Linked DNA regions of Ovis aries. The protein of the gene in region 1 interacts with the protein of each later gene in a pairwise test. Links are inferred from orthologs where the notes say so. Each region holds a gene or a part of one and is shown on either strand. Other genes may lie near its edges. The genes, in order: PRR3 and ASF1A.

What was found.
Region 2: the proteins of PRR3 (region 1) and ASF1A interact in binary tests that used the Homo sapiens proteins (3 or more experiments, as listed by UniProt). The two-hybrid records come from large-scale screens. The link is inferred for Ovis aries from reciprocal best matches to the Homo sapiens genes PRR3 and ASF1A.

What each region holds. Positions count from the first base shown.
Region 1 is NC_056073.1:27,533,033-27,536,949, reverse strand, and holds the start of PRR3 (proline-rich protein 3), read left to right. Parts: upstream 1-1,045; 5' UTR 1,046-1,086; coding exon 1,087-1,189; intron 1,190-1,902; coding exon 1,903-1,965; intron 1,966-3,917.
Region 2 is NC_056061.1:19,404,962-19,408,878, reverse strand, and holds the start of ASF1A (histone chaperone ASF1A), read left to right. Parts: upstream 1-1,339; 5' UTR 1,340-1,569; coding exon 1,570-1,678; intron 1,679-2,836; exon of another isoform or gene 2,837-3,917. UniProt on the Homo sapiens protein: Histone chaperone that facilitates histone deposition and histone exchange and removal during nucleosome assembly and disassembly.

The DNA.
Region 1 (3,917 bases):
AGCCCCCGCCGCAAGGGCCCGGGACCCTGGAGGGGGCGGGGCTGAAGGTGACGTCAGCGGGCGGGCCCGGCCGCTGCGCCCGGGCGGCCCGGGTGGAAGACAACGGGGAAATACAGTCACTTCCCAGTGAGAGCGAGGCGAGAGGATGATGCAGGGTAGGCTACCCGCACGTGAGAGCCAGTGGCACGGAGAGGGCGCTGCGGCGGCGAGGAAGGAGGCGCGCGTGGGAGGATCGGGCTAACTTCGTCACGGACGCTACCAACTCGCCTTCAGAGGAGGGGGGACGCGTGTCATCACTACCTTGCGCGCCGGGGAGAAGCTACCACTCACCTGGAGGGGGCGGTGGAGCGGAGGGCGGGTCCTACCACCTGGGGAGAAAGGGGCGTGGACGCGCATAAGCTACTTTACCAATCCTCCAGCTGGGCCTTAGAGGAAAGGCGCGACTGCGCATCCCGGGAAGGAAGCAGAGTTACTGAACTACACTGGGGGCCGGGTCAGAGGTCTTGAAGGGTGGGTGGCGGTCTGGAGAGCCCTGGGCAGCGCCCTGCTGGGACCCAAATTCCTTGTGGGAATGATGATAAGGAGCAGGCTTACAGATCATAAATGCAAGCGCCGCCGAGGAGAGAAACCCAGGTGGGACAAGGATTTTGGGAGGGAGGTCATAGGGCACCAAGTTGTGCCTGCAGCTGTTACCATAGAAACCGGGGACCGGATATGGCGATCTCAAGATGCGACAGCCTTCTCTTATCAGGCCTTCTGGCCCGAGAGTCGACTCTATGGCAGGCTGTGAGGAGCAGCCGGTTGTGGATTTTCTTTCAGCGAGGGGAGGAGCGAGCAACTTTTTCAAAGCGTTTATAGCAACGCAGCAAAGGAAAGGTTTGAGATTGCTGCCCTGCCTGGCAGAGACTGCGGGAGGCGGCTGATGCGAGAAGAACCGCACAAAGATTCTCCGCAGCCTTCCGGAAGTGAAATGGCGGGAGCCTCAGCCTCAGTGTCCACCGCCCCCCCCGGAAGCGGAAACAGAATCCCAGCGTGCCCCTTCCTCACTGCCCTCCAAATCCCGCTGCAGCCATTGCCGCAACCACGATGCCGAAACGAAAGAAGCAGAATCAGCAGCAGCAACTGCAGCAGCAGCCCCCACTGCCAGAGCGGGATGAGACTGGAGACGAGGAGGATGGGAGCCCCATCGGTGAGGAGCCCCGGAGGGGTGCGCACATGCCTGTCAGCCTGTCGAGGCGAAGGGTTAGAGGCTGAAAATATGCGGGGGAGAGGGGTCTAACGGGAGGAAGGGCGCACGCGCTGGGGCGGGGGCCGGGGGGGGGGAGCCTGTGTGGGATGGAACACTAAATGAGTTCTCTTTCTTGAATCCTCAACTTCAAACTGGCCTCTAACCCTTTGTAAAGAAGGGAGAGGAGATAAAGAACTTATGTGCGCAGCCGCAAAACGTCAGAGGGAGAGGGGCCCTAGAGAAGTTGCAGATTGCGATGACTGGGATGACAGTTTGTGACCACACTTGCATGGGGAAGGTGGAAGTAGAGCTTTCTGTGAACTCCTTGCGGATAGGGTTAAAGGAGAGGTATCTGACTGGCCAGCAGTTAAAGAGAGGGATTGGTTTTATCTCAGGAGTCACTTGGGATCTATTGGATAGCAACAATGTAAGGGAGAGAGAAAGTTTGTAGGTATCGTTTTCTCATTATACGCCGTGACAGGGCTGAGTCTCCACTTTGCAAATCCTGAAAATGCTTTGGAAATAGATGGGCGTCAGAACCCATAACACTGTTGAGAATATACCTGGCTTTACTGGTTAGATTAAGAAATGAGTAGTAGAAGGAAAGCATATAAGAACAGGATCATCAGTTTTTTAGTCCATTCTGATGACCATATTTTCATGTCTACTCTTAGGACCACCCAGCCTTCTGGGCCCTCCCCCCATGGCCAATGGAAAGCCTGGTGACCCCAAGTCAGGTGAGAAGAAAGGGGCCCTGATCCTTTGATTAGGTCGTGAAAAGGGAGCAAGGGAGGGACTAAAACCCACAAGGGATGTAAAAAAAAGATCAAGAATTCGGTACTTAAATGAAAAACTCAATGCTGTAAAATGACAGTTCTTCCAAAATTGACCCATAGATCCATTGCATTCCCACTTATAATCCCTACAATGTTTTTGTAGAAATAAGCATTCTGCATTATTATATGGAAATGCAAAGGATCAGGGTGAGAAATTGCAAAGACAATTTTTTAAGGGGAAGGGCTTACTCTGAATATCAAGACTTATCTTAAAGCTGTAGCAGTTATGGCAGTGTGGTATTGGTCCAAAAAGAGACATATAAATTAACAGAATGGCATAAAGAGTCCAGTAACAGGCCCACACACATATGGTCATTTCATTCTTGAAGATGGGATTGAAATAGTGGCCTTTTCAGCAAATCATGGCAGGTTAATTGGATATTCATGGGTAAAGAAGTAATTTCAGAAAACAAATGTATTTCATGGTCTTAAAGTAGATTAGAGTTTTTAAACAGACAAGCAACACACTAAGCATAAAGGAAAAATAAACTGAATTACATTAGGAAATACGAACTTCTATTAATCAAATCACATCATTAAGTTAATAGGAAGCCATAGAGTAGAAGATACTTGCAACAAATATAACCAATAAAGAGTTAAAATTTTGAACATATAAAAAACTCTCTGACAATCTGTTAGAAAAGTGGGCAAAAGACTAGAACAGCCACCTAATAAAAACTGAGATCTAAATGGCCAAAAACATGAACAAGAACACAGCATCATTAGTCATCAGATAAGGGCAAGATAAAAGCATATAACTTGGAAACCAAACCCTTTGTGTACTGTTGATGGGATTGTAAAGTGGTGAAACCACAATGGAAAACAGTATGGAGATTCTTCAAAAAATTAAAATAGAACTACTATGTGATCCAGCAGTTCCACTTCTGGGTGTTTACCAAGAAGAGTGGAAAGCAGGATCTTGAAGAGGGAGTCACACCCCATGTTCATAGCAGCACTATGCACGGTAGACAAGATATGGAAGCCGCCAGATGCCCATCGATGGATGATGGGTAAACAGAGTGTGGTATGATCATGTAATGGAATGTGATTCTGCCCTCAAAAGAAGAAAGTCCTGTAGCAGGCCACAGCGCCGATGAACCTTGACGCTAAGCCAGTCACACAAAAAAATGCTGTATGGTTCCACTGATCTGAAGTATATAAAGTAACTAAATTCATACTAACAGAAAGTAGAATGGTACTTGCCAGAAGCTGGGGCGAGGAGAGGGAAAGAGTTGTTTAGAAGCTACTGAGTTTCAGTTTTGCAAGATGAAAAGTTCTGGAGATCTGTTTTCCAATAACAAGAAATTACTTAACACTACAGAGATACACACTTAAAGTACTAAAGTGGAAAGTTTTATGTTAGTTACAATCACAATTTCAAAACAAAACACTGCTTTTCACACCCACCAGAATGGCAAAGATGAAAAAGATTGTTACCAAGTGTTGTCAAGGAATAACAGCTTGTTTATGGTGGTAGTGGGAGTGTGAATAGGAACAACCCAAGTTTCGAATTTCTTAAACGTAAGCATACATATATTCAAGGATCCAATAATACCTCTACCACATATATACTCAACAAAAATGCATCCACGTGTGTACCGAAGACTTATATAAAAATGTTCATAGCAGCATTTTTTTTGTTATATCCCCACACTATAACAAAAATGTGGAATCTAGTAGCATGTCCACCATCAGTAGAATGGCTAAATCAGTTGTGTGTACATGTAGTGGAATACCACACTGCAGAGAAAATGAAGGAACTCCTGCTACGAGCAACCTGGATGAAGGTCATAAACACTATGTTGAATCAAAGGATCCAGACAGAAAAGAATGCAGACTGTATGATTTCCTGT
Region 2 (3,917 bases), on another chromosome or scaffold:
AAATTCTCAGCACCATACTAAGAGAAAACTTTCAGCATAGATGACACTTAAATAACTTTCTCTGAATTTAATTAACCAAGTGGTTTCATTCAAAATACCTGAAAAATGATGGTTTATGCAGCAGGGAAAAAAATCCCTTTATATTGCTCTTATTTAGAAAATAGAAACAGCTCAACAACCTTACACAAAATGTATTACAAGCTCTCCCTTTCCTACAAAGGTAGTCAAGAACAAACTGACGCTGAATGTCGAATAATCAAGTAAAGATTCCTCTGAACTTGCTCGTGGTGCCATACATTTTTACTTACTAACGGTTTAGGTCATGACTTTTTGGAAAATTGCACGTCTTGGTATGCTTTCGTGGTCTCTACTCGCCTTTTGCCTTTTCTGCTTGTATCTGTTGTCTTTACGGTCTTCTGATACTTGCATTTTCTCCTTTTTATGTTCCTGCTGTGTCCTCCGAACAGGAGAAACCGGGTATAAGTGATCCAACCTCAAGTCATCTTTTTATTCTAGACTTTCCAGACTGGAACGGGAGAAAGACGACCCTGGTGCAGCCCAAATACTACCTATTCCACAAAGTGTGGGTGGAAAAGCGTTTCCTCGCCCTTCATTTTGTATCTACTTAACTAACGGCGCTGTCGTGCCCAAACGTAGAGATTGGCCAAGAACTAGATTTCCAAAATGGCTTTGCTCCTTTTGAGCTGACATCAGTCTATAAAATGCAATTTACTTCCCCTGCAACCAACCTTCCCTCTAACCCAAATATTACCCAGTACACAGACAACTGAACCTAACCTAGTGTAGACAACGGATTCGCATCTCCTAAATTCAGTAGAGAGCCGACACAGCCGTCGGACTAATGTGAAGAGTCAGAAGGGGGAGTGGGGGAGACACAGAACAAACCCGTTACACAAACCCCAGAGGCGGGTGTCGCCAGGATCGCGCCCTCCCGTCGCCGTGCCCACGGCGAGCACGCCTTCCCGCCGTGGCCACGCCTCCTGCCGCCTCGCCGTGGCCACGCCTCCCTCGACCCCGCCCCGCTGCGGCCACGCCCGACGTGAGGCGCGGGAGCCGCCGGGCCGGGGGCGGGGCCTGCGCCGCCCCTCCCCCCGCCGCCGCCGCCGCCGCTGCCGCCGGCGGCCTCCGCGCGGGCCTCCCAGCCCGTATTCCACTCACTTTGTTCTCCGCCTTTGTCCTAATCCACACCAGCAGGTGGAGCCGCAGTTAAAGTTTCCGAGTCCATTCCGGGAGCGGGAGCCCATCTTGCTCGCCGCGGAGGCCCTCGCTGGAGGAGGAGGGTCAGAGCTCGGGTGCAGCCAATCGCGGGCAACGCTGCTAGTTATCAGAGCAGAATGGGCTGTAGTTTAGTGAAATAGGAAAGCTGCAAAACACTGTGGAGTGTTCCCGTGTAAATAAAAAGAGGAAAAAAAAGTTTCTCAAGTCGCCGCTGCACGACGTCGGGCCGGCGCCGGGGCGGGGGTCTGCGCTCTCCCGAGCGGCCGCGCGCTGGACTTTATTGTGCCGCAACGAGCCCCCCGTCCCCATTGTTTGTGTTTTTTTCAAAATATGGCAAAGGTTCAGGTGAACAATGTAGTGGTGCTGGATAACCCTTCTCCCTTCTACAACCCATTCCAGTTCGAGATCACCTTCGAGTGCATCGAGGACCTGTCTGAAGGTGAGTCGGGCGCCCGCCCGCCGCCGGGCTGTCAGTTGCGGGCTGCAGACGTTGAAAGTTTCCCGGGCCCGGCCTCACGCGGGCGGCCGGGGCTCGGCGCCGAGCGGGCTGCGGGCTCGGCTTTGCGGAGGGAAACTTGAAGTTGATGGACGACGGCCGGCCAGGCGCGCGCGGCGTTCGGCCGCCGCCGGGGCGCCTGCCGCGGCTCAACTTGCGAGGAACTTGTTCGAGCGGAGGTAGCCATGTTGTCAGCTTTGTCTGGCGGGCGGGCGCTTCGCGAGACCCGCACTCGCGCCCGCGGCGCCGGCCGGGGGTCGCGCCGGGCTGGCCCCGGGCACCCAACGGCCTCCGCGGCCCCGGCGAGGAGGTGGGAAGGCAGAGGCATGTGTGTGGTCGGCGCCGGCGAGTTCGCAGCGGAGCCATCTTACCGAGAGTAGAGAATTGGGCCACCGACCCCGGCGTCACGACGCCTCCTCTCCGCGGGTGACGAGCGCGGCGCCCCGCCTGCCCACCTTCCTGCCCCCGAGCAAGAGGCACGTCCATTTTTAGCGCTCACGCTGGAGTTACCGGACTCTCCGGGGTGGCCATGCCCGGCCGCTTCGGGGAGGGGAGCGAGGCTGTCCTCGCGCTGATTTCTGGTTCCGTGGACCAACCAGTGGGGGAGGCGGGCGCAGGCTCGGCCCCTCGGCGCCACGGGCCGGCGCTCTCCGGGGGCCGCGGGTGCTCCCGGGCCGGCGCTCCCCAGCCGGCACCCAGGATGCTCGGGGCGCCCGGGGATGCTGGCGCGCAGGCTCGCCCCGAGCAACGTGGGCTCCTCATCCTTGGTGACTGAAATCTAATCTTCTCTCTCTCAGGAAGAAACATATTGCTAAGCTAGCAAGTTACATTTAACCTGAGAGCAGAAATAAGTAAAATATTTAAATAATTTCCAGGACTTGATCACTGGCTTCTAAGTAGTCTGAAAGACTTCCTTCAAGAACGTGTTGAAATCTAATTACAGCAAGTCCACATCCAAATACCCTGAACATAAAACACAAAAGTGGGCTAGGAAATAAAGTCCTGATGGCAATGCAAAATTTAATTTTTTTTTTCTAAGTACGTTTTAAGGTCCTCAGAAAGACATATAGCATGTGCGGTAAGAAATTCAGAAAGCTAAAATTTGCCAAGGTCTTTCCGATTTTATTAAAACCATCCAGTGCTCCATTTTCAAAATTTCAAGGGGAAAAAAAAGTTTAACTTCATCGATGGTAATTTTACAGCTAAATAGGGGACAGGCTTTTTTTGAACTTACAATTATGTTTAGCAAAATTCATCTTAAATTATATGCTAATCAAGGCATGTAAAGCATTTTCACTTTAAAAATTATCCTTTAATCCCTGTATAATGTATTTTAGGTAGTGTGTAAACTATTTCAATTACAAAAACCAACATATGCTCATTGTAATAAACTTTTTAAAAGTTGTTCATACATATATAAAGTAACACTCCTCTGTACTCAATACCTTCCGCCAACATGTCACTCAAAAGTAACCATAATTACCACTTTAGTATGTGCTGTTCCATACACTGTAGTTTTACTACAAATATAAAGCACATATGCACATACGAAAGTAGGCACATTTTGAAAGACAATTCATTTATTAAACTAATTCTTAAATGGGCTGTTGCTAATAAAAATTAAAGGGGGTTTTCCTTATTACCGAACTTTGAAACTATTTGGTTACTAAAGTACTGCCATAAGCATTTCAGCCACTAGGCCCATTTTCATGCCCACTAGACATTTTTTTGGTTTTACTATCAACTGCATATAAAAATGGACAAATGCAAGAGAAATACAATAAATGAGTCCCTTCCAATTTATACTACAGTGTTTTAGGCATTAGAACTTCTTGAAATTACTGGTATTTCTCAAGTGATATCTTCCATTTTAGGAGCGAGTTCTCAACAAGGAAGTTAGATGATTCAGGATGTTGTTACAGGGCTTTGACAATGGATGGCTGAAACCTGCCATTGATGTGTTCTGTTTGTAATGGGATCTTTTCAGAACCAAGCTGAATCCTATCAATTTTTACAGTACTGATGTCAGGAATACACCTTACTTTGACTTGTCTACCTCACTTCCCAGGTACTTATACTGGGCATTTATTTAGTACTTTTTAGGAGTTTAAGCTGAGTCATACTGAAGCTGCAAAGGAATCTTTCAAAAAGGTGCCATGCTTATGTACTCCACCTAGAGGCT